3 linked regions of the Pelodiscus sinensis genome follow. The protein of the gene in region 3 binds, or shares a complex with, the protein of the main gene of each other region. Links are inferred from orthologs where the notes say so. Each region holds a gene or a part of one and is shown on either strand. Other genes may lie near its edges.

The links.
Region 1: the proteins of BMPR2 (region 3) and INHBB are in contact, whole or in part, in a crystal structure (PDB 7U5O), measured with the Homo sapiens proteins. The link is inferred for Pelodiscus sinensis from reciprocal best matches to the Homo sapiens genes BMPR2 and INHBB. Residues at the interface, in NP_001195.2 of Homo sapiens: Tyr40, Tyr67, Leu69, Val80, Lys81, Trp85, Ser86, His87, Ile88, Gly89, Asp90, Gln92, Ile108, Gln109, Tyr113, Phe115; in NP_002184.2 of Homo sapiens: Phe309, Asn318, Asp319, Ile322, Ala323, Pro324, Gly326, Tyr327, Tyr328, Thr379, Met380, Ser381, Met382, Leu383, Phe385, Asp386, Asn390, Ile391, Val392, Lys393, Asp395, Ile400.
Region 2: the proteins of BMPR2 (region 3) and BMP10 are in contact, whole or in part, in a crystal structure (PDB 7PPA), measured with the Homo sapiens proteins. The link is inferred for Pelodiscus sinensis from reciprocal best matches to the Homo sapiens genes BMPR2 and BMP10. Residues at the interface, in NP_001195.2 of Homo sapiens: Asp38, Ser64, Tyr67, Leu69, Lys81, Cys84, Trp85, Ser86, Ile88, Gly89, Asp90, Pro91, Gln92, Glu93, Thr103, Thr104, Pro105, Pro106, Ile108, Tyr113, Phe115; in NP_055297.1 of Homo sapiens: Tyr329, Lys333, Asp338, Ser339, Trp340, Ile342, Ala343, Pro344, Pro345, Gly346, Tyr347, Glu348, Glu395, Pro396, Ile397, Ser398, Ile399, Leu400, Leu402, Val407, Tyr409, Phe411, Ala417.

Annotation. Positions count from the first base shown.
Region 1 is NC_134717.1:6,953,991-6,964,463, reverse strand, and holds the start of INHBB (inhibin beta B chain), read right to left. Parts: upstream 4,695-10,473; 5' UTR 4,548-4,694; coding exon 4,148-4,547; intron 1-4,147. UniProt on the Homo sapiens protein: Inhibins and activins inhibit and activate, respectively, the secretion of follitropin by the pituitary gland.
Region 2 is NC_134738.1:905,567-915,951, forward strand, and holds the start of BMP10 (bone morphogenetic protein 10), read right to left. Parts: upstream 4,886-10,385; 5' UTR 4,606-4,885; coding exon 4,272-4,605; intron 1-4,271. UniProt on the Homo sapiens protein: Required for maintaining the proliferative activity of embryonic cardiomyocytes by preventing premature activation of the negative cell cycle regulator CDKN1C/p57KIP and maintaining the required expression levels of cardiogenic factors such as MEF2C and NKX2-5.
Region 3 is NC_134717.1:56,223,788-56,233,483, forward strand, and holds the start of BMPR2 (bone morphogenetic protein receptor type-2), read right to left. Parts: upstream 4,776-9,696; 5' UTR 3,654-4,775; coding exon 3,578-3,653; intron 1-3,577. UniProt on the Homo sapiens protein: On ligand binding, forms a receptor complex consisting of two type II and two type I transmembrane serine/threonine kinases.

The sequences.
Region 1 (10,473 bases), about 49 Mb from region 3:
GCTAGAGGGTGTGGATGGATGGATGGACGAGTACAACAAAGGGAGTTAAAGGAAATGGTGGCTAGATGGGTGTGTGTAGCAGGAGTTGGAGGGTATAGAGTGGGATGGATGAGGGTTGCAGAGGTTGTTGAAATGCAAGTGGAAATGGATAGGTGTGCCAGGCAGAGGTGATGGATGGGTGAATGGGTGTAGCAGAGGGGTTGGATGGCTGTAAAAGAGAAGATGGGAAATGAGGTAGCAGAAGGGGCTGAATGGCATGTGAGATGGGGAGAAGAGGCTGGACAGATATACAGATGGATGTAACCGCTTGGTAGAGGAGTGGATGCAATGGTGTACTAGAGGGATGGATGGTCTTGGGACGGCAGATGTGATGATGTAGCAGAGAGGTGGATACCATGGGGTGGGCGGACAGAATATTGTAACAGGCGGATGGATGACATGGGGTGTCCAGACGGTATGGTGTAGCAAAGGGTGGATGGCACAGTGCGAGCGGATGGCATAGGAGGTGTGAGTGGAATGATTTAGCATGGACGGATGGGCGGATGGACAGGTGGGCAAAGCAGAGGAGTGGCTGTTTGGGATGAATGACTAGGTGAAGAAGAGGAGCAACCAGCATGGTGGGATGGGTGAAGCAGAGGTGTAGATGGAGACATGGACAGGTGTGGGGGGGTGAAGCAGATGGGTGGCTACCATAGGATGGATGTTAGAAGCAGAGGGGTGAATGGATGGGTGAAGCAGAGAGTTATCTGCCATGGAGTAGATGGATGCAGCATCTGGCATGAAGAGATGGAAGGATGGACAGATGGGTGAAGCAGAGGGGTGGCTGGCATGGGATGGGATGGACAAATGGATGGAGAAGTAGAGGAGAGGATGCATGGATGGACAGATGGCAGAAGCTGAAGGTAGCCGGCCATGGCTGGGTGGATAGATGAATGGACGGGGCAGAGGGGTGGAAGGGATGCAGTGGCTGTTGTGGGGCAGGTCAATGGAAGGCTGAAACAGAGGGGGGGGATGGAGAGAGGGGTACACTAAGGAGTGGTTCACATGGGGTGGCTGAGACAGATGGACAGAGATGAGAGGAGAAGAGAGGAGGTGGGCAGATGAGAGAGTTGGCTGACTGGGACAGAGATGGATGGGTGGTGAGGCAGAGGGGTGGTTGCTGTGCTTTGAATGGGTGCGTGGGCAGCTAGCCTGGATGGACAGATGAGTGGGGGAGGCAGAGGACTGGCTGATGTGGGATGGCCAGCTGGCTGGCTGAAGCAGAGGTGTAGCTGGCATGGGGCAGACAGGAGGGTGGGTGAAACAGAGGTGGATGGATCAGTGGGGAAGCAGGGATGTGTCTCACCTGGGTTGGATGGATGGATGAGTGGATGAGACAGGCCTGGGCAGGCTGGCGGGATAGAGGAGTGAAGCAGAGGGGTGGTTGGCATGGGGTAGACAGAGGAGTGGGAGAAGCAGAGGTATGGCCAGGGTGGGCAGGTGGCTAGCTGGAAGGTGTAGAGAGAAGTGGCTGGATGAAGCAGAGGGATGGATGGCATGGTGTGGATGGACAGATCAGCGAGACAGACAATTGGCTGGAGGGTGGACCGACGGGTGGAGGAAGCGGAAGGATGGTAGGCCTGGGGCGGGCGGATGGAGGAGGGTACTGGACGTGTGCGTGGGGCAGGGGGCCGGAAGGATGGATTGGTGGGGCATGATGTGGACAGACCAGAGGTGGAAGGAAAGGGGCAGCTGCAATGGGACAGATGGACAGGTGTGGAGGGGTGGCTGGCACGGAGTAGACGGACGGCTCAGTGAGGCGGACGATTGGCTGGGGGGTGGGCAGATGGGACGTGAAGCAGAAGGGTGGCTGACCTGGGGCGGATGGATGGATGGGTGGGTGGGAGAAGCAGAGCTGTGGGGGGGGGGCGGCTTGGTGGGGGATGTGGACAGACTGGAGAGCGAAAGAGAAGGGGTGGCTTGCACAGGGTCGGTGGGCAGATGGATGATGCAGAGGGGGGGGCTGGCTGGGACGGATGGACAGGTGTGAGGGGGTGGCTGGCACACAGTGGGCGGATGGTTGGAGAAGTGCATGAAGCAGAGGGGGGTCTGGAATGGACATATACAATGGGTGGCTGGGTGGCATAGAAAGGGATGGGTGAAGCAGAGGGGTGACTGGCGGAGATGGATGGACAGACAGGTGGGTGGGTGGGTGGGACACCTGGGCGGTGAGGCAGGAGGGTGGGTGAGGCAGGGGGGCGGCTGGGATGGACAGACAGGTGGGTGGGACACCTGGGAGGTGAGGCGGGGGGGGGGGGGTGAGGCAGGGGGGCGGCTGGGATGGACAGACAGGTGGGTGGGACACCTGGGAGGTGAGGCAGGAGGGATGGCTGAGGCAGGGGGGCAGCTGGGATGGACAGACAGGTGGGTGGGTGAGGCAGGGGGCGGCTGGGATGGACAGACAGGTGGGTGGGTGAGGCAGGGGGCGGCTGGGATGGACAGACAGGTGGGTGGGATACCTGGGAGGTGAGGCAGGGGGGCGGGTGAGGCAGGGGGGCAGCTGGGATGGACAGACAGGTGGGTGGGTGGGTGAGGCAGGGGGGCGGCGGACACGGGGTGGATGAAGTGGAGGGTGACTGGGACAGTTGGATGGAGGATGTGCCAGGGTCGGGAAGGATTCATGGAAGGAGGTGGCAGAGGGGCGAATGGAATAGGGGTGATGTGGAGGGTGACTGGGACTAATGGCTGGTGGGGGAGGGGGAGGGGTGGCATGGACAGATGGCCGGGTGGCTGGCATGGGGACGACAGGTGGAAGGAGTAACAGAGTCTGGTACAGACCAGGGCACGTACGGGCTGTGCAGGGGTGGCTGGCATGGAGCAGACAGTGGAAGGCGATGGCCCTGAGGGGAGGCTGGTGCAGACCGAGGCGTTGGTGGGTGGCATGGGGCAGACATGGGAGGAGCGACACGGAGGGGAGGCTGGTATGGACCGAGGTGGGGATGGGTGGCATGGAGCAGACATGGAAGAGGTGCCATGGAGGGGAGGAGGATACGGACTGAGGCAGGGGTACAAGCAGGGGTGGTTGGCATGCGGTCACTGGTGGAAGGGGTGACACGGAAGGGAGGCTGGTTTGGACGTGGACGGGATGGCATGGAAGGAAGGCTGGTACGGATTGAGGCAGATGTGGAAGGAGTGGTACGAAGGGGAAGCCAGTACAGCTGGGGCGAGTGGCCTGGGGCAGATGTGGAAGGGGTGGCACAGAGGGGAGGCTGGGGCAGGTGGCATGGAGCAGAGGTGGAAAGGGTGACAGGGAGGGGAGGCCGGTACTGCCGGGGTGGGTGGCATGGGGCAGATGTGGCAGGGGTGACAGGGAAGGGAGGCCAGTACCGCCGGGGTGGGTGGCAGGGGTGGTACAGAGGAGAGGCCGGGGCAGGTGGCATGGGACAGACATGGCAGGAGTGACATGGAGGGGAGGCTGGTACCGCCGGAGCGGGCGGCAGAGGTGGTACGGAGGGGAGGCTGGGGCAGTTGGCATGGGGCAGACGTGGAAGGGGTGGCTGGGGCAGGGCAGGTGGGGCAGGTGGCATGGGACAGACATGGAAAGGGTGACAGGGAGGGGAGGCCAGTCCCACCGGGGCGAGTGGCAGGGGACAGATGTGGCAGGGGTGGCACGCAGGGGAGGCCAGGGCAGGTGGCAGGGGACAGACTGGAAGGGGTGACAGGGAGGGGAGGCCGGTCCCGCCGGGCGGGTGGCAGGGGACAGACTGGAAGGGGTGACAGGGAGGGGAGGCCGGTCCCGCCGGGCGGGTGGCAGGGGACAGACTGGAAGGGGTGACAGGGAGGGGAGGCCGGTCCCGCCCGGCGGGTGGCAGGGGACAGACTGGACGCGGTGACAGGGAGGGGAGGCCGGTCCCGCCCGGCGGGTGGCAGGGGACAGACTGGACGCGGTGACAGGGAGGGGAGGCCGGTCCCCCGGGCGGGTGGCAGGGGACACACTGGACGCGGTGACAGGGAGGGGAGGCCGGTCCCCCGGGCGGGTGGCAGGGGACACACTGGACGCGGTGACAGGGAGGGGAGGCCGGTCCCCCGGGCGGGTGGCAGGGGACACACTGGACGCGGTCGTGCGGAGGGGGCAGGGGCCGCGCGGGACGGGGGACGCGGCGCCCACCTGTCTCGGCGAAGCTGATGATCTCGGACACCTGCTCGTGCGGCGGGGGCCCGGCGCTGGCCTGCCCGTCCAGGCTGGGGATCTCCACGCGGCCGTCCTCCCGCACCTTGCCGGCGTGCAGCTTGCGCAGCGCTGTGACCATGGCCGCCTTGGGCACCGCGTGCGTGATGTTGGGCCGCTCCCGCATCTGCAGCCGGCTCAGGATGTGCCGCTTCACCGCCTCCAGGAAATCCCCGTCCACCTTGCCCGGCTCCTCGGGCCGCCGGAACCCGCAGGACGTGCAGCTGTCCTGGGGCGCGCTCCCCGCGGCGGGCGGAGGCGTCGGGGAGCCCTCGGCGCCCAGCGCCAGCCAACAGGTCACCAGCGCGGCCAGCAGCCCGCTCCACGCCGCCCCGTCCATGGCGGGCACCGGGCGCTGCAGCGGGGCTCAGTCCCGGCCGCCAGCCGCTCCGCTCAGGCCGCTCCGGGGCAGCAGCGCCCGGGGCAGGGGGGCGGGGGCCGCCAAGCTGGGGGGGAGGGCGGGAGCCAAAATGGGAGGAGCAGGGCGCTACGGTCTAAACTAGGGACAGCAGGCTGGGCAGAGGGGTGCCAGGCGAGCCCCGGGGGGGGGGGGGACACGAGGCTGGGCAGAGGGGTGCCAGGCGAGCCCCAGGGGGGGGGGACACGAGGCTGGGCAGAGGGGTGCCAGGCGAGCCCCAGGGGGGGGGGGACACGAGGCTGGGCAGAGGGGTGCCAGGCGAGCCCAGCGGGAGGGTCCACAAGGCTGGGCAGAGGGGTGCCAGGCGAGCCCAGCTGGGGGGGTCCACAAGGCTGGGCAGAGGGGTGCCAGGCGAGCCCAGCTGGGGGGGTCCACAAGGCTGGGCAGAGGGGTGCCAGGCGAGCCCAGCTGGGGGGGTCCACAAGGCTGGGCAGAGGGGTGCCAGGCGAGCCCAGCTGGGGGGGTCCACAAGGCTGGGCAGAGGGGTGCCAGGCGAGCCCAGCTGGGGGGGTCCACGAGGCTGGGCAGAGGGGTGCCAGGCGAGCCCAGCTGGGGGGGGGTCCACAAGGCTGGGCAGAGGGGTGCCAGGCGAGCCCAGCTGGGGGGGTCCACGAGGCTGGGCAGAAGGGTGCCAGGCGAGCCCAGCTGGGGGGGTCCACGAGGCTGGGCAGAGGGGTGCCAGGCGAGCCCAGCTGGGGGGGTCCACAAGGCTGGGCAGAGGGGTGCCAGGCGAGCCCAGCTGGGGGGGTCCACAAGGCTGGGCAGAGGGGTGCCAGGCGAGCCCAGCTGGGGGGGGTCCACGAGGCTGGGCAGAGGGGTGCCAGGTGAGCCCAGCTGGGGGGTCCACGAGGCTGGGCAGAGGGGTGCCAGGCGAGCCCAGCTGGGGGGTCCACGAGGCTGGGCAGAGGGGTGCCAGGCGAGCCCAACGCTGGAGGGGTGCGAGGCTGGGGGAAGAAGATAGCGAGGGAGCCCGGTTCGAGGGAGAAGCAGCCCCCAGGTGTGGACGAAGCAGGCAGGGGGCTAGGGCCGGGGAGACGGGAGTCTGTAGGCAGGGGCCAGCCGCTTCCCCGCGGGCAGGGGTGGAGCAGACGGAGCCACTCCTGCGCCCGGCTCACTCCCAAGCGGGCATCCCCGGGGCGAGCCGAGCCGAGCCGGGCGGGGGCCTGTCCGGTAGCGGAGGCTCTCAGTCCTGCGGGTCCCGCCGAGCTGGGGCCGAGCTCTCAGTCCGGCGTCATGGGGGCCGGCCGGCGGAGGTGCAATCCAAGGGCTGCCCCGCACCCCGCCCGGCCGAGCCACCCCGCGGGCGCTGGGTGCAGGGCTCCGGGCAGCTCCCCTGGCGCCGGCGAGTCTCTAGCGCGCCCTGGAGCCAGCGCCGAGCGGCGGCATCAGACCCGCACACGGGCCGGGCTGGGCTCTAGCGTCCTGCCAGGCTGCCCCGGGGGCACCGCTCTAGCGCCCCGCCGATCCGCCGGCTCAGCGCTGCGCCTCCGCTCGCTGGCGCGCCCGCGTCCTCATGGCGAGCGCGGCTCCCTCGCCGCGGGCTGCCCTCGGGCTCCACGCCGGCTGCAGCGGGGCGGGCTGGGCGGGCTCCCGGCCGCTGGGGGGAAGCGGCGGGCTCCTCGCTTATCGGCCGCTGGTCTCCGCCTGCTCCTTCCCCCCGCCCTGCAAAACCACACGACATGGGGCCACTTTCTACGGAAACTTTTATACCGGCGTGAGCACCACGTGGGGAGCGCGGCGCGCACCGCCCGGCGCGGAGATTAACCCTGCGCTGGGGCTAACGGGGCCGGTCCCCTCCTCCCCACACACCCCGCCCCATAGCACAGGGGCTGGAGTCAAAGCCGCCTCCGGCTCGCCGGGACCTCCGGAGAAGTGGGGGGCTGGGGTCAGTCCCCAGCCTAGGGCGCCTGGAGCCCCGCGGGGCAAGCGTCCGCCACACGGCGCGGGTGCTGCTCCGGGGGAGAGGCCGGAGGGGAAACAGAAGCAGCTTTGGGCACGCACCGGCGGCAGGAGGGGAGAGCGAGGCTGGCACCGGGCTGGCTGCCAGGCGCAGAGAGGCGCCCGACCCGCAGGCTCGGGGCGGGGGGGGAGCAGCAGCGGGAGGGTCTCTCCTCTGGCTCCTCAAGGGATCCCGGTAACCCCCGGCGACCGCTCCGGGAGCCGGCCCCTCGCCAAGCGCACGCCTCGCCGCCCCCGACCGCGAACCCCCAGCCCGCCCCACCCGGCCCGCGGCAAGCTCCCCCACACAGCCCCGAACCGCCACCCAGGAAAAGTAACACAACATACACCCTGAGGGCACAGCGGAGCTAGGCTCCCTGCTCCGCTGCCCTGGCACAACACAGCTCCACACCTGGGTAACTGCACCCACCAGTCAGCTGCGGCACGCACCGCACTGCACAACTTCATACCTGGGTAACGCACCAGAGCAACTGCAGCATACACACCACAACTCTACACCTGGCTAACGCAGCACACAGCTCAACACCACACCAGGGGAACACACTATCCACCAGCACAGCACAGCTCCACAGCTGGGTAACACACCAGCCAGCAGTCTGCAGCGCACACACCGCAGCACACAGTACAGCCCCCACACCAGGGTAACACACCAGCACACAACTCCACCTGGGTAACAGCAGCCAGCTGCCGCACACACACCCCAGCACACAACTCCACACCTGGGCAACACAGCAGCCAGCTGCAGCGCACACACTCCAGCACACAACTCCCCACCTGGACAACACAGCAGCCAGCTGCAGCACACACACCCCAGCACAACTCCCCACCTGGGCAACACAGCAGCCAGCTGCCACACACACACCCTAGCACACAACTCCCCACCTGGGCAACACAGCAGCCAGCTGCCGCACACACACCCCAGCACAACTCCACACCTGGGCAACACAGCAGCCAGCTGCCGCACACACACCCCAGCACACAACTCCCCACCTGGACAACACAGCAGCCAGCTGCCGCACACACCCCAGCACACAACTCCACACCTGGGCAACACAGCAGCCAGCTGCCACACACACACCCCAGCACACAACTCCCCACCTGGACAACACAGCAGCCAGCTGCCGCACACACACCCCAGCACACAACTCCCCACCTGGGCAACACAGCAGCCAGCTGCCGCACACACACCCCAGCACACAACTCCCCACCTGGGCAACACAGCAGCCAGCTGCCGCACACACACCCCAGCACACAACTCCCCACCTGGGCAACACAGCAGCCAGCTGCCGCACACACACCCCAGCACACAACTCCACTCCTAGGCAACACAGCAGCCAGCTGCAGCACACACACCCCAGCACACAACTCCACACCTGGGCAACACAGCAGCCAGCTGCCGCACACACACCCCAGCACACAACTCCACTCCTAGGCAACACAGCAGCCAGCTGCAGCGCACACACCCCAGCACACAACTCCACACCTGGGCAACACAGCAGCCAGCTGCAGCGCACACACCCCAGCACACAACTCCCCACCTGGGCAACACAGCAGCCAGCTGCAGCGCACACACCCCAGCACACAACTCCCCACCTGGGCAACACAGCAGCCAGCTGCCGCACACACACCCCAGCACACAACTCCCCACCTGGGCAACACAGCAGCCAGCTGCCGCACACACACCCCAGCACACAACTCCCCACGTGGGCAACACAGCAGCCAGCTGCAGCACACACACCCCAGCACACAACTCCCCACCTGGGCAACACAGCAGCCAGCTGCCGCACACACACCCCAGCACACAACTCCACTCCTAGGCAACACAGCAGCCAGCTGCAGCACACACACCCCAGCACACAACTCCACACCTGGGCAACACAGCAGCCAGCTGCCGCACACACACCCCAGCACACAACTCCACTCCTAGGCAACACAGCAGCCAGCTGCCGCACACACACCCTAGCACACAACTCCACACCTGGGCAACACAGCAGCCAGCTGCAGCGCACACACCCCAGCACACAACTCCCCACCTGGGCAACACAGCAGCCAGCTGCAGCGCACACACCCCAGCACAACTCCACAGCTCACCTGGGAAGGTGCGATCCTAGCGCATCCGCCAGGGCTCGCTCACCTGTGCCGGGCCGGGCAGGTGCTTTCCCCCGCTGGCTGCCGCGCGGGGCTCACTCGGCGGAGCAGGTTCAAGACGCGCTGCTGCCGGGCACGTTGCAGGCACCTCCAGCCTATGGGGTAGGCGGCAGCCTCCGGCGCAGGAAGGCTGGGGAAAGGGCGCCGCCTATCGCTCGCGGCTGGAAACGGGCCAGCTGGCCCAAGGCAGCGAGGATGCAGAGGGTGAGGATTACACACAGCAGCCCGGAGTAAGTGTTACCTTTCAGTTAATTAGCGTCTTGCGCGCAGGCCACCATCCTTCCCTCGGCCAATTAGCGCCCTTCAGCCAAAAGGCCCGCCGGTATTTTTTGCAGAGGTCGAAACTGCAATACAGAGGAGGCAAGTCCACCCCCACTTTGCAGACGTGGTCTCTCAACGTGAGTGATCCATTTGAGAGACCTGGGGTCTGCACAGTAGGGAGCCTCTTTCAAGCCTTCCCCATGGCGGAGAAGAAGCCATCTAATATTTAAAGGCTGGGACGAAGCAGCACAGCACAGAGCAAATTTTTTCCTCCACCAAAGGAGCTTTGTTGTCACTTTGCCAGAGATACAACAAATGCCAGGTATGTGTCATGAGGTAATTGGGTCAAGTGTAGTTGCCCTCCCTGTCACAATCTGGGCTAATCTCTGCCCAGCACTGAGTCTGCTCAGCTGACAAAAACATTAAATCACATCTGAACACCCTATCCCTTGCCAGCAAAAAGAGGGCTGGATATTGGGGTTCCCATAATGCTGTTACAAATAACTGCATGGACAGCTTACCCCTCCAGCAGGTTCTGAGAACTGCAAGTCATTTGTTTTAATTCCATAGTCTGTTTCTGGGGGATTTGGGAATGTTTTGCTCTTAACATATTCTTAACTATTACAGTCAATAACTTGATCTTCTCCTTTGCACTTCATATTACAAATACAAATGCTAATGTTTTTGAATAGGTGGTATGGAGAGGCTATATCAACAGTTTAGCATAATCATTAGAAATGCTTCAAGGTTTTTTTGTTTTTTTTTTTTTGTCTGTAAAACTGGCAACATATTTACCTACTACACACTATTAATGTTTTAAACTATAAGGAAGGAATAGTCCTTTGGCACCTTAGAGACGAACAAACATATGTGAGTGTGTAGTATCATGAGCTTTCGTGGACAAAACCCACTTCTTCAGATGAACTTTTCCCCACTCAAGCTCATCTGAAGAAGTGGGTTTTGCCCATTCTTTATCTCTGTTAGTCTCTAAGGCCATGTCTTCACTGCATGCTTATTTTGAAATAACCCATGTTATTGCTGTCTATACAGCAAGCCCGTTATTTCAAAATAAAGGGCTTCTTACTCCAACTTGTGTAACGCTCATTTCATGGGAAGAAAGGGAAGTCGAAGGGAGAGTGTTCTTCCTTCGACTTCTTGCTGTATAGACAGCATCAAAAACTGAGTTAAGCTCCTTCGTCTTCAGCTACGCAATTAACGTAGCTGAAGTTGCATATCTTAACTCGACTTTAGACATACCCTAGACATACCATACCCAGTGAAGACATACTCTAAGGTGCCACAGGACTATTCTTTTTAAAGTTAAACTAACCCAGCTATCCCTCTGAGACTTTATAAGGAAGAAGGGTACTCTTGTGATTAAAGAAAGAGATGATCTGGAATTTTTCAGTTCAACTTTTTTTTTTTAATGTCAATTAATCGAAACTGAAACTTTTCAGGGAAAGGTTTTAGAGAGATAGCT
Region 2 (10,385 bases), on a different chromosome or scaffold from region 3:
AATAGGAATAATTGATTGTCAGTGAGGTAGAAGGTTTATATTGGATCTTGAAGGAAAACTAGGTCAGATTATGGTAATGGCAATGAAGGGGGATTTATAGCTCTCTTTAATGTGGTTATCAAAGTGCTTTATACAACATCCTTTCTGATCGTACACATTATGTTTATTGTGTAGAGGAACTGCTTTGCCCAGCACCGAAATGAAGCCATCTCTGGAGTGCAAATACAGCAGCTGTTTAACATGTGACTATTGACATTACAGAAAGTTTAGGGCAGGAAGGGAAGAGGAATTCTATTCCAACCGAAGGGACATAGGGGATTGGAGATGGGGCAGAGGGGGACACAAACTGTTCCTGCAGTGAAGGAAGGCTGCATTCGGATCTGTTTATCTTTTTATCTATTAAGAGGGGACCTAACTTTCTATAGAGTATCCAATAGATTCCCCTCATAAATAGTATGATCTCCTTTTCCCTCAGTTCATCCCCAGTGCACAGTCCCATACTCCTCAGGTGAATTTGTATCTTCACTGGTGAGTTGATACAACACATTAAAATCCCTAGTGCTGATCTGCTGTCTTGGATGCAGAGTGCACAGATCTCCCAGTGGCAACAAATGCTACCATAAACTTCCACCAGTGACTGAAGAGTGTGACCCTCAAGGAAAGAGACAAATTGTTTAGGGTGATGCAAAGGCTTGTAACTAGGAGGAATGGGAACTCGGGTCTTGGGCCAAGACCCAATAAAGCCATGGAAATATTCCCATTGACATCAGTGGTGTTTGGATCTGTCTTGAAAAGAGCAAAAGAAAACTACTGTACATACTTAGCTTTTGAGAGTATTAATGAATCAGATGTATAACAAACAAATGATCATCTATCTATTTATCCATCATGTTTATACATGCCCCATCTGCATTTCTTCATACATATGGGCAATTTAACAAAATGCTTTGTATTTATTGCTACATTTCATTCAATAATGACTCTGAAACCAGGTTGGGAAATAGAGACTTAGCGGACATGCTGACAGGAGCTGAGGGGATGGACTGCATGGATCCTGTACATTTTCCCATCTCAGATTTCTATGACTCTGGGATTGATACATTTATGGAAACATTTGGTTGACGAAGCTACAAATATTGGCCCTGAGCTAGCGAAGCACATCAGCACATGAATAATTGACTTTAATCGGTCTTTGGAATTTGTTGATGTTTGTAAATCCATAGGCTGTCTGTCTAGTGAATGTGTCCCACTTCACAACTGGAAGTGGCACCAGAACTCAGTGATCTACAGCCCCTCAGCCCTATCGCCCACCTCCACCCCCAGGCTGCTGGAGAACAAGTCCACTGTTATGATGATACATATGGTCTTGGGGTGGGGAAAAGTCACAGAAAATGGACATGAATCAATCATTGGAAGGGATAGAGACACACTCTTGTGGGAAACTGGGTGTCTCGCTTCCTGATTAGGGAGAAAAATAAATCAGAACTGGCAACTGCCCACAAGACAGACTGAGCAAGAAAACTCAAAGGGTCAAATACTCTTCACTATTTCCTGTACATCCTCATTGGTGTCAATGAGGACACACTGGTGTCTGAAGGAGGACAAATTAGCCCAGAAAGCTTTATTTCAGTTTTTAAGCAACGACCACATTACAATCCAAGCTGCAACAGAGCCAGACAACTCCATGAGCTAAAACCGCTAATGAACAACTGTCATCAAGTTCTACTGCTTTCAACCATGCAATTTCCATTATCATCATCTACTACCACAAGCTGATGAGTATAAACATTGCACGGTGTGATCTGTTCCATCTCTTTTATCAGTAATAAATGCAAGCACTTTAGTTTACTCATGTGCCATATAATCCAGGTTCCCTAATTGTTAATGACTTTTTAGACATACAAAGCAGAGACAATTGAAATAGACCCTCTGTGGTATACATGTGCCTATGGAGAGCATTTGCATTAGAATACAAGTATCTGAATTTATTTCTGAAGTTGTGGACTAGAAGAAAGGACAGGAACCTTCTGAGAAGGTAGTAAGTTACTCTGCATTTGACATTGCCATTGCAGACTTTGTGGTGATGAACACGCTGCTTGGAAACTGTTGTGTTTATGAAAATTAATGGATCTTTGCATTGTTCCATTTACTAAAAATGAAGGATGGATTCTGATGTCATCAATCTACTATATATTTGAGAGAGTTTGTGTGTCTGTGTTTCTCTGTCCATCTGTGAGTCTGTTTGTTCAAGAACTCCTCCTAAACAGTAAGAGCTAGGAACACCAAATTTGGTAGGCAGCTTCCTCTTATCAAAACTTAAAGCAAGGTCAGGGTTTGGTTGTGCCAAGACAATGGGATGTGCCTGGAATGTGAGTGTTTCCCACAAAACAGAAAGGGAGGGGTCTGCTAAGAGGGACAGTTATAGTGTATAATGACCACAGGGGGACAGCAAGGGGCCAGAGATGGGGAATGGGACAGTTATAATCCTATTGGGGCAGCAGTGCACGGGGTGGAGAAAAGGATAGTATCTATTATATATTTGAGAGAGTTTGTGTGTGTGTCTGTCTGTCTGTGTGTTGCCCAGCTGGGAGATATGCACCCCTCCCCCAGCAGTTTCCATGAACAGGCACTTCTCCCTGGCCCCAAGCTGCTGTGGTGACAGAGGGCTGGGGTTATCCTCTCTCCCCAGGGCAGCCTGCACACTGACCCCCCCCCCCTCCCGAGAGCAATGAATCAAATGAAGAAAAATTAGTTCATCTGATGACGTGGGTTTTACCCACAAAAGCTCATAATATTCTATATTTGTTAGTCTCTAAGGTGCCATAGGACTGCTTGTTGTTTTTAAAATTATTTCAGTTAAGGACTTGAGCAACAGTGGGCAAATCCTCTAAGTAGCAATATAAATCTGGAATGATTCTATTGTAACTAATGGAATTACTGCATATGTACACTAGTAAAACACATAGCATTCTCCACTCAGTATACTCTGCTTTCCCAATTACAGTCCATTAGTTTTCCTATTACTTTTCATCTTAAAATTGTAAGTGTCAGAATCATTATTCCATATTCCTTCAGGGCCAGATTGTGAATCCCTTCTCTACACACAAATTGCCCTGAGGTCTTCAGTATGCATAAGTCACTTTCAGTGCAGCCCTCAATGAATTAAATGCTGTCTATATGTAGAAGAAATGCAAAGTTAAAGTGGATTTGAACTGTAAAGCGGAGCCTTTTAAAACCAGAAACATGTAGCTTGATAAGAATGCATGCGTCTGAGCAAGGTATAGATTAGCCCACAAGCAGTTATAGAATCTAAAACTGAGTTGTCAAATTTAGGTTACATAGGCTCAGTCTTTGCTCTGTTATCTTGTAGTTGTGAACTTCATCAGTAAAATTGAGACTGCTACTTTGGGACATAATGATTTTCTGAAAAGCCTTTTCAACCCATATTCCATATTGGTACTCATGCATGAAGAATCAGTAATAGCATGAGAGCTTTTTATTCCCCGAATTGTGTAGAAATTTCAGGAAAATGTTGAATTGCGCAATATTCGTAACAGTCTAAACTCATAATTCTATAAAATTTTAGTTACCTTTTTTGAAAAAAGGCATGCATCCCTGTCTAATCACTACAAATTTTATTCTCTCAAAAATAAATGGTGAGGCAAAAGTTGTTATAGAGAGATGCTAGCCGCACACATTTCTATATATTCTACTGACCTTATTTTACACAATAATTGAGGAACTAAATTGGGAAAATATTTCCAGAAAGCCATTTGTTGTTTGGTTGGGAATCCATGAAGAAATTTGGCTTTCCAAATGAGAATTTGTACTATTGCATGGGTGGTGAAAGAGGCCTTTTCTCATTAATCAAATAAGGAAGATAAGTTGCCATCTCCATTTAAAAATCGGATGCGTATGAAGGTAACATATAAATGATGCATATGCTTCCTGGAACTATGACAATTTATTTATAAATAAATACACCCACAATACACAAACACAAAGGAAGACATTGCTCCTGCCCCAGAACGCTCACTGGCTCAAGGATATAAAATAAGGAGGGCGAGATTACATCAGACAAGCAATGTGAGCTGTTCATTATAGACACAGGCCATGCTAGTTCCCTAGCTCCAGTTGCATCTCTATCTAATCACTGTCAACTCCTTTTCTCCCCAATTAAGTCGTCTTGCTCCACACATTGGGAAGAAGTGCCTTGTCGGTTCTGAGCAATGCCCAGTTATTCTTCGTTCACAGAGGAGCATGGATCTTACCTTCATTTTTGAAGCTTCTAACAATATTTGCCGATGGCATTGAGGTCCTGTCAGTGGCAAACCTGTTGTACAGCTCTAACATGTACTCTGGGGGCTCCACCTTAGACTTTTCATGCAGGGGAATGTCAGAAAGGTTCAGCGTCTTCAGGAACTCATTTTTCATGTTCTGAAGCAGCGTGTTGAAATCGACACCTTCCTGCTCTGAAAGGAGTTCATCAAAGAGGGGCACATCTTCTTCCAGGGACGACTGCTCCAGGCTCATGATGGGGCTGCAAGCAGCAAGGTGCACCAGCAGAGAGAGGGTTGCCCACAACTGAATGGCAACAGTATCCATTCCTTCGCGTTAGCGTCCAGCCGCACTCACCAAGGTTTAGCTCTTGTGTGCGCTAAGTGGCTATTTTATCCCCTGGTTTGTGCGCAGCTTGTGTCACAGACTTGACAAGTTTGGAAGCCCTTGCCTGAAACTTGTGATCAGTCCTCACTCTCTCTCCCGCCTCCCCACACACCCTCCAAAACCAGGTCTCAGTAATTGGATATAACACACGCTCGCCTATGGTAGCCTTGCCTCTCTTATCTCTTGCAGTGTAAGCTGTCCACCAGATTTTCTGTTGCTATCTCACAAACCCCCTTTCCCTTAATGAGCATTTTGTAAACATTCTGCACTTGGACATATTGAGATACGACAATTTTCTCCTTGGACAGGATCTGCCCTTTCTTTCTCCCTTGGAGCTGACTTTCTTTGGCATGTATGGCCAAGTTTTATCCATGCAACTTTGTTATGCTTTCAGGCAAACATGCAAATGACACAGAGCCTACGTCTAGGATTTTGTATTCTGTACCAACAGTAAACAAAAGCCTCCTTCAATATTAAGAGTTAGTAAACTCTCCAGCCCAAGGAAAGTCTTTACTTGGCTGAAAAGCGCTTTGAGGCAGGGCCCATCCTTTTGTTCTGTTTGTACGCACCTGCACAATGGGAGTCATGCCTGTGGCTCCTAGGCACCCTGATAATATAAATAACAAACAATCTAAACACCACGGGAGGTGCTAAATGCAGTGAAACTGGTGTGATTCTATCAAGCAGTAGGAAGCAGAGAGTTTGCGCTCCTTGCATCTGGGCTGGTGTGTCATGCAGGGCTTCCTTGTGGAAAGGGGCTTTGGGAACAGGAGAAACGCAGGCAGGGATGAGGTTGGGCATGGCCAACAGAGCTGTTCCTGGTTCTCCATTTTGCCCCTGGGCTGCCACCACCAGCTTGTCCTGTACAAATAGAAGGCAATTAGCAAATGTTTTTAGTGGTGTTTATTTTAGCTAAGTATCAGAGGGGTAGCCGTGTTAGTCTGAATCTGCAAAAGCGACGAGGAGTCCTGTGGCACCTTATAGACTAACTGAAGTGTAGGAGCATAAGCTTTCGTGGGCAAAGACCCACTTCATCAGATGCATGTAGTGGAAATTTCCAGAGGCAGGAATAAATATGCAGGCCAGGATCAGGCTGGAGATGACCAGGTGGATCCAATCAAGGAGGATGAGGCCCACTTCTAGCAGCTGATCTGGAGGTGTGAATTCCAAGAGAGCAGAAGCTGCTTTTGTAGTTAGCAAGCCATTCACAGTCTTTGTTTAATCCAGAGTTGATTGTGTCAAACTTAAAGATGAACTGTAGCTCAGCAGTTTTTCTCTTTGAAGTCTGGTCCTGAAGTTTTTTTGCTGCAGGATGGCTACTTTTAGATCTGCAATTGTGTGTCCAGAAAGATTGAAGTGTTCCCCTACAGGTTTTTGTATGTTGCCATTCCTAATATCAGATTTGTGATAATTTTGTATATTGCCATTTCTAATATCAGATTTCCTAATATCAGATATTTTAGCTAGTTATTCTCTCTAGAAACCACAGGTTCCCATTGAACACCTGCTGTTCTGGGGACGGGCTCCACAGAAATGTGTAGAAACAAACTCAGCAGGGAGCACTGAAACAATTGCAACTGGCTCCTAAAATGCCGCCTTTCTCCCACGCCTCTTATGTGTCTGGCATGGCAGGTTACATTCACTCAAGCTCTGTTCCATATGCTGCCGTCATACCATCCCCCGCCAGAGAGCTTTGCTGTAACTGGCATGAAACTAAACTTCAAGGGACCTCTAGTCTGCTGCAGAGACACCAGCATTACTTCTGGCCACATCAACGCGCCGTGGCTCAGGGGCAGGATGTTATGAGCAGATCGGGTTGAAAACCACAGCACAGTTTTCATGGAAAATGTTCAGTGTGTTTCCGGAAAAAACAAATTCTGGGCTGGGGTGTGGGGATGGTCAGATTTTTGAAATTTCCAAAAAGTTTGAGGACTGCAGACAAATGAGTAAAACCAAAGCAACCATGTAAGTTGAAAATTGTGACCATATCTGTCTCTGTTCTGGCCCAGTGTTCACAGGGAACTTCCCTGTGACAGGAAAATTAGAACGCATGCCTTTTGAGCCAAACACCCAGCCTTCCACCCTTTGATGCAAAGGAGAATCTCTTTGTTAGTAGCAGAAGGTGTCTGACTTCATTGTGAGGTATATCTGCAAGAACTAAAGAGCGCATGGTTTGACTGAAATAGCAAAGCTCTGTTGGGGCACGTCTACACAGCAGGGCAAAAGTCAAATTAAGATACGTAACTTCAGCTATGTCAATTGTGTAGCTGAAACCAAAATAGCTTAATTCGGCTTTACGCACTGTCTATAAAGCAGGAAGTCGAAGGAAGAGCACTCTTCCTTCCGCTTCCCTTACTCCTCGTGAAATGAGAGTTACAGGAGTTGTAGTAAGAAGCCCTCCAGCTTGACATTATTTCGAAATAACGGCTTGCTGTATAGACACTCATTTTCTTATTTCGAAATAACATCAGTTATTCAGAAATAATGCTTCTGTGTAGACATGCCTTGGACAATTCCACTCCTCAGTTAGGACTGAGCACATCCTGTCCATTTGGTACATCTATTTATTGTGACTGTCCAGATGCTGTTTCTTCTCAAATAGGTCAACTGCCATCTTGGCACAAGGGAAACAACTCTAGCTCACTTCACGATGCAATTTTGAACAAGGATAATTGTATTTATTCAGATTATATTCACAGAGAGCACTGTTCATTAAGAGCACCGAGCCATATATTTGTGTGTCCCTTTGCTATTTTGCTTCATTCAGAAACTCTCCTCTCAAACAGCTTGCCTTTTTACCACGGCAGTTTAACACAGTAAGGGCTTGTCTACACTACAGAGAAGACTGTGGCTGCCTCAGTCGATCTTCCGGGGTTTGAATTAGCGAGTGTAGTGAAGATCTGCTAATTCGAACTGAGAGGGCACTCCCATCGGTGCCGGTAGTCCTGCTCCTACGAGGAGTAAGGGAAGTCGAAGGGAGCATGTGCTGCTGTTGACCTCCTGCGTGTGAATGGTGCCAAAATGCAATTTAAGATATTTTGATTCCTGCTACATAATTAACATAGCTGGAGTTGCATATCTGAAGTTGACTTTCTCCTTTAATGTAGACCAGGCCTAAATGACCAACCTAAGGCTGTGTCTAGACTACATGGCTCCATCGATGGAGCCATGTAGATTAGGGTTGTAGGCAAAGGCAAATGAAGCCTTGATTTAAATGATCGCGGCTTCATTTAAATTTACATGGCTGCCGCGCTGAGCCGACAAACAGCTAATCAGCTGTTTGTCCGCTCAGTGCGCTAGTCTGGACGCTGCCCTGCCGACATCAAAGCCCTTTGTCGGCAGCCCCGTTATTCCTCGTGGGATGAGGTTTACCGGGGCTGCCGACAAAGGGCTTTGATGTCGGCAGGGGAGCGTCCAGACTAGCGCGCTGAGCGGACAAACAGCTGATCAGCTGTTTGTCGTCTCAGCGTGGCAGCCATGTAAATTTAAATGAAGCCACGATTATTTAAATCGCGGCTTCATTTGCCTTTGCCAAAAAAACAAATCTACATGGCTCCGTCAACGGAGCCATGTAGTCTAGACATACCCTAATTGACATCCAATGCTCTGGTCATCTGAAGGAATGGGACATGACCACAAAAGCTCATGATACCATCTACATATTTTGTTAGTCTTTAAAGTGCTACCAGACTATTTGTTGTTTTTTAAGTTTTTCCTCATTTTTATTGTTACACATAGGTCCACTCAGAAGCAGCTGATCCTGAACCTTGAAGGAGCATTCAGAGCAGGATCTGAATTGCATGGCTATCTATGAGTCTATGAGCTTGTGGTTTTGTGACGCTGAACAGCCAAAAACTTTGTGAGATTTTGGATCTGAATCCCACTGATTGCTATTTATTCAAAAAAGTGGACTCGCAACCTTCCTTTTTTGAATGATTCATCTCTTGGCCATGCAGCACTGGGGAGGTGACCTTACATCCATAATGAAACGGAGATTAAGAAAGTTACAAATTAGTGCTGTCGTGCCCCTCCCAAACTTAATGAATATTGGCTTATGAATATGAATATGCATATTATGAAGATGCTTTAGACATATATATATGCCTCATATAATCTATCAGTTTTAATAGACAGTCTGCTGAATGTTTATATACTATTTTTGTGCATTTATCATAAGAACATGAGAATGGCTGTACTGGGTCAGACCAAAGGTCCATCTAGCCCAGTAGCCTGTCTGCCGACAGTGGCCAGCACCAGGTGCCCCAGAGAGGGTGGACCGAAGACAATGATCAAGCGATTTGTCTCCTGCCATCCCTCTCCAGCCTCTGACAGACAGAGACCAGGGACACGTTTCTATCATTCTTGCATGTGAAGTTGGAGAACAGGCCCCCTGGAGGCAGATGGGAGAGCCTTGGCAGGGAGAGAACAGCCCCTGGTAGGCTAGGGCAGACTGGGGGGAAGGAACAACCCTCACTATTGCCCCCCTCTGTCTACTGCATCCTGCACACCCTCCCCTCCACATCACCAAAGCCCTACCTTCAAGGGCCTGGGCGACACTGGGTAAGTCTGCTAGTTTGGCTATAAAATCACAAAGCTTTACAATGACTGGCACATTCTGCAGCCAGCAGACACCGTTGCCTAAGTAAAGGCTGGAGCACATGTGGGAATCTGACACATGTCTCTGAAAGCTACAAATGTGCCAGTACCTTGTTACAAGCAGAATTACAGCTCAACCATTGTAAATTTCTTCGTGTTTCCTTTCTTGTTTGAGAACTTGTTGAACACCTCATGTAAGCAACACAGCCTACTGCTGAATGTCTTAGCTCACATGGCTTAGCCTCTGTACAGCTGTTGGTGGGTTGCCAGATGTACAGTACCACTAGATGACATCTGGTGTAAAAGCAGTTTCCTGTTTCCTTTGCTTTGGAGGATGAAGAATTTAAACCATGCAGCCTTCTTGCCGAATTAAAAGGCTGAATTGTAGACCTAGAAATGTTAGTTAATTTTTCCTCTAAAATTCATTTACAAGAATGACATGGTTTTTTTCCTTTGAACAAAACGCAGAAACCTATGCTAGCTGGAGAGGCAATATTCCTGATCCTTCCTATTGTTATTAGAACAGAAGAACAGCCATATAGGGCCAGACCAAAGGTCCATCAAGCCCAGTAACCTGTCCAGTTTAAAAGAAAAACAAAAAACCAAACCCAACCAAACCTCAGTGATGTGGCCCCCGGCTGAGGAGAAAGACGCTCCCTACGTTCCCCGCACATACCAGAGCCTAGGGGGAGCAGCCCAGTAGACTTTGTGTGCTCCAGCCCTGCAGGGAGACAGCAGAGGACTGGAGCCACAGCGAGGTCTCCCCAATGCTGGGGGGGGGGAGCCCTGAGTTGCAGCAGCCAGATCCAGACAAACCGGGGGCCTCATTCAGCCCCCAGGCCTTAAGTTCCCCATCCCTAGAATAAACAGAAAAAGTGATCCACCCACTGTCACCCATTCTCTGCTTCTGGCAAACAGAGGCTAGAGACACCATTCCTGTCCATTCCGGCTAATGGCCATTGATGGATCTGTCCTTCATTAATTTATCTAGCTTTTTTTTTAACCCTGTTATAGCCTTGGACTTCACAACCTCTGGCAAGGAGTTCCATGGGTTGACGATGTGTTGTGTGAAGAATTTTATTAACTTTATTGCATAAACAGTGTGCTTGTTGGAACAATAAGTG
Region 3 (9,696 bases):
AGTGTTAAATGGACAGAAAGAACCCTATCTACTATCTCCTTTTCAGTACTGAGTATCCTATATAAAGGTGAACCATATATTTTTATTGCCATTGTTTTATGTTCCACCTTGTTTCTTATGCTCCCCACATCTCTCCTTGTTTAAATTACAGCTACGTGTTGAGCAAAGGTCTTAACTAAGATGTCCTCCAATGATGCCCAGATATATTTCCTGAGTCAATTCTCATGTAACTTATAATGTTCTAATTAAATTTTTCCCTCTGCTGTGTAAATTATTTCACATTTAGCAGATGAAATGTATTGCTGATATTATCTTATCCATTCACTAGATCAGACATACTGTCTTTTAGCAAATATACCCCGCGGTTTTTGCTTTTTGAGTTAAAAAAAATCTTGTATATCCCGCGCACGAGTATAACTCACAGGGTATACAAGGCTGTGCCGGGGTATATTTATGGTGCGGGGGGAGAGGGGAAGAGGGAAATTAGCCAGCCACTCACCACCCAGTTCCAGCCTCCAGGTAGGGGAGCCCTCACTGTCCAGTTCCTGTGCAGCTGGATGAGCGCTTCCCCGCCCCTTCCCACGGCTGCGGAGGAATCAGGCGGTAAGCACTCCCCCGCCTGGAGGCTGCGCAGGAACCAGGCAGGGGAGTGCTCACCGTCCGGAGGCTGCGCAGCAACCGGGCAGGGGAGTGCTCCTCCTGCCCCTCCCTACGGCTGTGGAGGAACTGGGAGGTGAGCTGGTGTGTAAAAAAAATGTTGTATACCCCGCACCCGAGTATACCCCGCGGGAGGGTGGGGGTGTGTGTGCAGGGTTTGTAAAAACAAATATAACCCGTGGGTTATATTAGCTAAAATACGGTAGCTTGGTGTTAATAAAGGATTTCAAAGCTGCACAGGGCCAAAATTAAGCACTTAGATGTAAAATGCACAGATTTTACTTTTGGGCAAGTGCATGGGGTCATTCACATACATATAAGGCAGGGGCGGGGAACCTCAGGTCCGGGGCCAGATGCGGCCCCTGGCTTGCTTGGATCCAGCCCCTGAGGTTCAGAGCCCTCCCCCAGCACTGGGGAGCTCACGCTGGTGCTCCAGTTCCCTACTGTCCGACCATGGAGCTGGAGCACACAAAATCTACTAGGCTGAACCCCCGTAGGCTCTAGTGTGCGAGGTGAATGTGGAGAGTGTCTTTCTCCTTCTCAGTCGAGGAGGGCCACATCAATGAGGATTTGTTTGGGGTTTTTTGCATCTCACTTGTGTGCAACCCAAAAAAGGTTCCCCACTCCTATGAGGGCAGACGTTCTCCATTTTGTGGGCGGAAGGGGGGGGGTTAGCTAAATCTCAAACCATTAGAATATTCTTAGTAGGAATATACAATCCCATTTAATTAGTTAATCTATTAGACATTAAGTTTAACCGTTTAACCAATTAACCAGGGGCAGGTGCTGTGGCCAGCCAGAGCAGCCCCTGCCTGCAGCAGCGTGGCCCAAGGAGGCCCACTACAGACATGTACTGCTCTGACCAGAGGGATGGAGGCAGGCAGGCAGCTGCTTCAGCCCATACTGATTAACTGGAACCAGTAAGCTGAGGCTTATGGGTTTACCATTCACATCTCTAATTCTTACGCACAGTTGACCAATGTTCTCTGTAAGATGTGTGCTTGGGTGGCCACCCAGGAGAGATTCAGGCATCACCCAGCTGATTAGCAAAGCACCAAAAGCTACCCACAGCTGGCAGCATGTGTTTCTACTGGTGCTGTACACCTGGCCATGCCTCAGGGAACACAAAATTTTATTCCACATGTGGGTGGGGGGTGGGGGAAAGAGGGAGAACATTTGTTGTCAGCCCAACTTTTTAAGCTGCATAGAACTTTTGTATTGTACATAATAACAGAAAAAGTATTATATAGCCACAATGTGAAAATTAGTTCCTATTCATGCATTTCACAAGAACATGACATGATGACCAGTCTCTGTACTAGACAAACCCAGGACAAAAGTAGCAGTGATCAGAATTGAGGTGAAATTGGCAAAATTCACTAAGCAGACTAGCAGGCACCTGCCCATCCCCTGCCTGGCTCAGATCAGTGCTATTAAATCTTTTTCATCAGCACAAAAAAAAAATTAACCCTCAGAAGTTTAACAAAGTGAATGAGAAAGAAAACTATTTTTCAACTCTCACATTTAAGGGAAAAGGTTAGATAATGGAATATTTTAAATGCATAAAGGTTTTAATATCAAAGCTTTTGACCTTGAAAGGTTTTATTCTTCAAAGAAATCCTCTTATCAAATTATCACAGAGAAACATGGTAAAAGTCAATCTAAAATATCAAGGTCAGGCAAAAGTCAGGCAGATGCAGGAAAGTGCTCCATCTCAATTGTTTCAGTTCAATATTTCCCCAAAGAAGGCCTTTTATAAAATGGAAGACTGTCCATTCTTAGTAAATCAATGAAGAAACTGCCTAAACACATCCAATTCACAGTATTATTCTACTATGAAAGACACTATTTTGACCACTGACCAAAATGCATTACAAGATAATTAAAATAAAGATTTGTGCCAACTATCAATCTTCTTATGCTCGCTTCACAAGAAACTTCACATTTATCTATTATCCTACACCTGAGACTTACTCAGTACATTATAAAATAATGCTGGAAAAGACTGAGGATTCTATACACTGGCTTCTGAGTGGAAAGAAAGCTACCAAAGATCTTCTACAAACTGTTAAAAGCATATAAAAGGGAGGAATAAGTATTAGCACCTAATAAACCTGGGTAACACTTCAGAGAGCTCCTTCATGCTAATCTGCCACTATGATCAAAAGCCAAAGGATGCAAGGGCTACATAGGGTTCTAGTCTCACGGCTAATTGCTCTGTGCATGTAATACTGAGCTCTAAAAAGTTTAAAATAGAGCAATTTTCCAAAAATATTATACTTTAACTTACTGTAAGTAAATAAAACGCTTAGCATTATGTATGCTCAGATCTTGCAGTATTCCTCATCACCATCTTATTTTACTATTCTATAAATCTCATGAAGATGAAAAATTTTCATTTTTGTTTCAAGCTCCAAGAAGAAATATGCATTATATAATTACCCTAAAAGATATAGCAAATGTTATAGCTATAATTACCCAATAACACTGATGTTAGTAAAATAAAAAATGGCTGTGCCCAAAGACCCCCCATTAGCAAGCAGACATAGCTCTGCTTGTGATTACAATGTATTTTTAAAATTCCAGCATTACCTCACAAAGATGTTAAACATTTCATGGAAAAAACCCACCATACCAAATTATTCTTCCTCACCCCGAAAAAATGAACACATTCCATTTATCACCATGAACAGACCAAGAGAAAATAAACCTTCACTGCAAATTGGGCTTTCTACAAAGAAACAGGTGAATGAGAAAGTCTCGAAGATGATAGGTCCTCACTTAAAAACATTATCATACTTCACTGTGACACACAGGCACTCTACTTTTTAATGGGTCACAGATATATCAAAGTACCGATGGACCCCACCCCCTTTCGAATGCCAGAATGGCTAGTATATTACACCCGGTGGCTACTTACCAGACGCAGTGCTGAGCAGCAGGGTGGCACTGGAGAGCATGAGCACCAGCATAAGGTGCTGCAGAGAGGCACTCATACCTGAGGAAGCGAAAGGAGGAGGCAGAAGAAAAAGAAAAAAAATACAGAAAAGGGAGGAAATTCCTCCTTTCGAAACAATCTTTAAAACGCTCTTGGATCACAATCCAGTCTGGAAGGGCAAACGGCAGATGACAGGAGCTGTCTGAGCTCTTACTCCTTTACACGTATCTGTCCTCATGCCTCAGGACTGGCTCCTCTTCTTTCTAGCGATCATAAGAAAAGGGGGGTTTGGTTTCCAAGCCAGGCTGCATTTCCCTTCCCCTGGGTAAGCAGTCACTCTTGCGGTCACACCGGAAACCCAGATTATTTCCCACGCAACTTGACGATATCAAAGAAGCATCCAGGTTTCGCATGAAACATATCCAGGGAGGGGGATAAGGAGAAAAATCGGCAGCAACTGTCACCTCTCCTGCCCCGGGTCCGCAGAGCCAGTGCTGAGGGCTGCGGTCAGAGGGACACCCCCATGCCGCGGACCGACGCCGTCGTCCTTCGGCCCTTTCCGCGTCGCTTAACTAGGCGAGGTCCCTCCCCGCCACTGCCATGTACAGGCGGCGCCGTGGCCCGGCCCGTCTCTGCAGGCACCCTGCTCGAGGGCGCAGCCCCGGCCCCTCGGGACTGGAGGGCGCCCAGCCGGGTGCTTCCAGCTCAGCAACGGCTCAGGCTGCAGCTCGCGACAGAGGCCCCCTCGCTCCGCCGGCGGGCAGCTCTCCAGCGCCTCGAGCAGCCACCGCGCGGAGGGAGGCGTCTCCGGACTTCAGCCGGCGGCTATGGGGTGCCGCGGAGCCCCGCGCCTTGCCACAGGCTGGCTCCCTCACGCGGCGGCGCCTGCTCCCGTCCTCGCCCCCCCGCACAGCGGCGCGGCTAGCAGGAGCGCGCGGAGGGGAGGAGAAGATCCACGCGCGTCGCCTCCCAGACCAGACACAAAGGGGAGTCGCCGCTAACTGCCAGTCTGAGCTCGCGGCCCCCTCCCCCTCCAGCAGCCCGCCTGGCCCCGCCCCGTTTGTCTCCTGCCTGCCCGCTCAACTGCCGCGCTGGTCTCCTCGCGCGAGCCAGGCCCCTCTTCTCCCCACCCTCTCGCAGAGGCCCCTGATCATAGAGGTGGGCCTCCAGGTAGCTAGAGAGGGGCTGCGGCGCCACCCTGTCAGTCTGCCTATGGTGGGGGGAGGGAGAAGGGTGTTGACAAGGGAGTTTGGCGCGCCCCGCCCGCACCGCCATATTTGTGGAGAATTGTGCGTTTGCCAGATTGCGGCCTTGAGAAAATGTGCGTGGGCGGGTGCGCTGGTCAAGGAGCTGGCCGGGTGCCTCCGCGCACAGTAGCTGCAGCAGCGCTGTTTGCAAGCCGTGAGCTCGCACTCGCCAGTGTGGCTGCCCCACCAGGCTCCTCCAGCGGCGGGGGCGGGGACACACACCCGACCGAGGCAGTCATCCTTAGGAGCTTGCTCCTGCCCATCCATGGCTGCCGGTGCAGGGCGTTCTCCGTGCGGGCTCCCCGCCTACACACGGGCAGGGCCGGGAGCTGCTGGCCCTGGCCCTGTAGCAAAGCTCCTCTTTCCTCCCTGCGGATTGGAGAGAGAGCAGCGAGGCCCCTTTCGCTCTGCTATTCCTTCATCCTCCCAACCCACCCGCATTTGCCCCCGCTCCTGCATCCACCAGCTGCCTTGTTTGTAAACTCTTCGGGGCAGAGACTGTCTCTGTTACTGTACGAACAAGTGCAGTACCCAGAGAATCCCCACTCTGCACTGGAGTGCCAAGGTGCTTCTGTCACACAAACAGCAACAGTATTTATAGTAATAGTAATAAATAATGATTGTTTGAAAAACTAAGGAGATTGTTTTTACAACTTCAGCCTACCCTTCACCTCATAAGAAACATCTAAGAGACACATGGACAAAAACAAATAACACAGTCATCCAGCAAACTCAGGAAAGACCAGATCTCATATTTCTAAATTTAAAAAAATCACAAAATTAGTTTATTTTACATTATTTGTAAATGTTACAGTATTTTTAAATTAGATATCAGACGTGACAGGAAACTCATCTGAGGCACGGTATCCAATTTTCAGTGAAATGCTGGTATTTTTAAAAACCATTTCCCCCCTCCCCCTTAGATTTTACTAACTCATAAGATTGAGTAATCCAAAGGGGAAGCCAGTGGCACAGATGGATTTGACACACTTCAAAACATTGTTAACACTCAGGGTAGGGTTTGCATGTACACATTAAAGCCTACTGACCTCTGATTCTGATTGGAAATTATGAACACCACTGTTGCCATTAGCATCATCAAAATAATATAGCGCTAGATAGTTAAAAAGTGAGCATATCCTCAGACTTCTGAATTAGATGTATATCTTCATGTAATACATTGTATAGAACTTGTGCTGTCTCAAATAAAATTTGTTTTTCTTTGTCCTCTTATTATTATTTTTGATTTAGTGACCTCCATCGGAGACTTTGAAAGCATTTTAAAACATTAATAAAATTAGCCTCAAAACTGCCAGAAATCTTGTACAATATTTTCTCATTTTTCAGCTGAAGAAACCAAGGCTATGTCTATGCCAAGATTTTTGTGATGTTCTCCCACTGTTGCTCCAGCTCTAATGTAGTTTACACCAGTTCCTCCGTTGCTGCTAGCAACTGTGGAATTATACAGGTGGTAGGAAAAACAGCCAAATATTTTCACACACAAAAATCAATGTAGGCCAGAGGGATTATATTACTTGCCCAAGATCACACACTGGGCTGGATATTCTATCATATACAACTGAAAGGATGATTGAGACTCACGGCTATGTCTACACCACAGGGTTTTTCTGGGATACCAGAAGTATCCCAGAAAAACTCTGCCGCATCCAGGGAACACGTCTGCTCTTCTGCTTTTTTTTGCAGAAGAGCAGATGCGCTCTTTCAGAAGCCCTGTCTTCCTCCTCCCACAAGGAAGAAGGACTCTTCCAAAGGAAGAGGCTTTTCTGAAATTTTGCCCAGTGTAGAGGGGCCAAATTTCGGAAAAGCCCCTTCTGAAAAAACACAATTTGCGTACCTTTTTCCGATAGATCATTGTAGTGTAGGCATAGCCTCAGAAGTATGTGATAAAACTGGGATTAGAATCTGATTAGGGCCTTATTCTCTGTCACCCTAAGATCTCTTTATATTGATCTAAAGGAGCTTTACATGGGATGGAAAAGGCCTCTTAAAAATACATTCTGTAAACCAGGGGTTTCCCCCTAGGGCTGTGGTTCTCAACTGGTGGTTCATGGACCACTGGTGGTCCATGGTGACTTTTTCAGTGGTCCACAGGAACATTGTCCACAGTCACACGGCATGAGCAGACGCCACTGTTAGGCTGTTTTACGCCATGTTCACAAGCACGCAGCACGTCATCCATAGCGTCACCTAGGACGCAACCACATTGTATTGCCAGTAACTTCCGTCTGAGGCTCTGAGTGTCAGTGTAGCTGCCACCGTCATGCTGAGCGGTTGCTGTGTCGTTCGTCCTATGCTACATGTGCTGTTTTACAGGTGTGGTGTAGTTTGTTTATAATGGCAACGACAGGAAGAAATGTCAAGTGCAAGTACTTGGAGGACTACATCAAATTCGACTTCACTTGTCAAGAAAAAGGCGGCACGGATTTGCCACAATGTGTTATTTGTTTCAAAGTCTTGGGGAATGACTCAATGAAGCCGGCTAAGCTGAAACTCCATCTCGAAAAGTGTCACCCCACCTTGTTGCAAAAGAATGAAGATTATTTTGAGCGGCAGTTATCAGGTCTGAAATGGCAGTGCCTCAGCTCAACAAGTGCATTCTACAATAAGACAAGCAATGCAGTGCGCGCTTTCTACATTGTTGCATACAAAGTTGCACAGACCAAGAAGCCTCATGCCATCGTAGAGCAACTTGTGCTCTCCTGTGCAAAAGAGATGGTGCAGCTTCCCCTTGGTGAGGAAGCAGCAAGGAAGCTGAATGATATATCTGTCTCTGAGGACACAGTATCGAGATGGATAAATGAGATATCACAGAACATCAGTGAACAAGTTGTAGATGAAATTAAGTCTCCATTGTTTGCCATACAATTGGATGAATCAACTGATGTCACATTGTGCTCTCAGCTATTGGTGTTCGCACGATACATGGTTGAGGGAGACTTCAAAGACGAGTTCCTTTTTTGTAAGGCACTTGATACCACCACAAAGGCTCAGGATGTGATGGAAATTGTTAATAATTTCTTTGAAGTACATAGTCTGGATTGGGTAAATCTTGTGTGTGTCACCACTGATGGTGTACCTGCCACGCTAGGCTCAAGATCGGGCTTCCAAATGCTGGTGAAACAGCGTGCTCCAATGGTAACCAGAGTTCATTGCTTCATTCATAGGGAAGCTTTGGCATCAAAAACATTGCCTGATAACTGAATGCCATTTTCAAAGGGTTGGTGAAAGTGGTGAATCACATCAAATCATCGTCTCTGAACACCAGGCTGTTCAAAAGATTTTGCCTGGACACTGGTTCCGACTTTGATGTGTTGATGCTCTACACTTCTGTACGGTGGTTGTCATCAGGGAACGTACTCAACAGAGTTTTTCAACTGAGAGAGGAGTTGGATTTATTTCTCCAGGCTCACAGAAAAGAGGAATTCCAAAATGTGCTGATGCAGTCAAATTTAGAACTTGCGTATCTTGTCGATATTTTTGGAATCTTGAACAAACTGAATCTTCAGCTGCAAGCGAAAGGTGCAGATCTGTTCTCTCACCAAAGCGTCATCAAGGCTTTTCTTGACAAATTGGAACTCTGGATCGTAAAAGTGGAAGGCAATAATTTAGTTCAATTTCTATATGTGGATGCCATGCTCGGGGAAAAGGAAACCATTCAAACGCAAATTGTCGATCATTTACAGAAGCTACGAGACGAATTCCAATGATACTTTCCAGAGGTGGACAGAACAAGGGATGGATTATCTTTCATCAGGAATCCATTTACAACAGATGTTGTTAGTGTTCCAGAGGATCTACAGGAGGAATTCTTGGATCTGAGAAATGATTTTGCAGCTCAAGACGTGTACCAGCAATCTACCATGGAGAAATTTTGGGCCAGCATGTCCAGGAGTTACCCAAATCTGTCAGCACACGCAGTCAGATTTCTTTTGCCATTTGCATCAACTTATATGTGTGAGACTGGATTTTTGTCTTTGTTGCACGTTAAGTCCAAACAAAGGCTTGCAGTGGAAAGCGATATTCGTTGTGCATTATCAAGTACCACTCTAAACATTGAAAAGCTTGTCAGTGAGAAGAGAATCCCAAAATCTCTTAGTAAGAAATAAATTTCAAACCAAAATGTTCATTGTCTGCTCTTTTTTATCATGTCTCAAAAGAGAGGTGGTCCATCAAAATTTTTTGATTGGCCTGGTGGTCCGTGGACTGAAACGAGTTGAGAACCACTTCTCTAGTGGCTCTCAACCTATCAAACTTTAAAATTTCCGTAACTTATGCTGGGCCCCAGAATACAAGGAATAAAAAAATGGCTTAAAGCTACTTTTGTCCTCCCATTTCTCTCCTAAACTCAAGAATGGATGAACCAAGTATCAGGCTGCCAGGTCTGTAGATTCCCAGCCCAGTACCTTGAAATGGTATCAGCAAAAGTATTATGTACACATGGTGCTCCTTTATTCAACAAATCTGTTGCTTATATGAACTGAATGTCAAATTTGTTGATTTTGATGACAATAATAAGCTTTTAACTTTTTTTTTGCACTACTCATCCTTGAAAGGGCCAGCACAGATAAGAATGAATCATCATCATCATCACCATCAACAACCATGGGTTCAGCGCCTGTTGGTGTCTGATGCCTCCCTCACTATTTCTTTCCATCTTTCCCTGTCCAGTGTGGAGTGTCTTAGTTTCTATAGACTTGCTCCACACCAATCTACTATATCATCTACTCTCTGTAGGGTCTGCCTCTCCTATTTGGACCAACCATTATGCCGAATACCAGGGTCTTAACTTTTCGCTCATTGTTCATTCTGCAGATATGCCCAAATAGCTGTAAC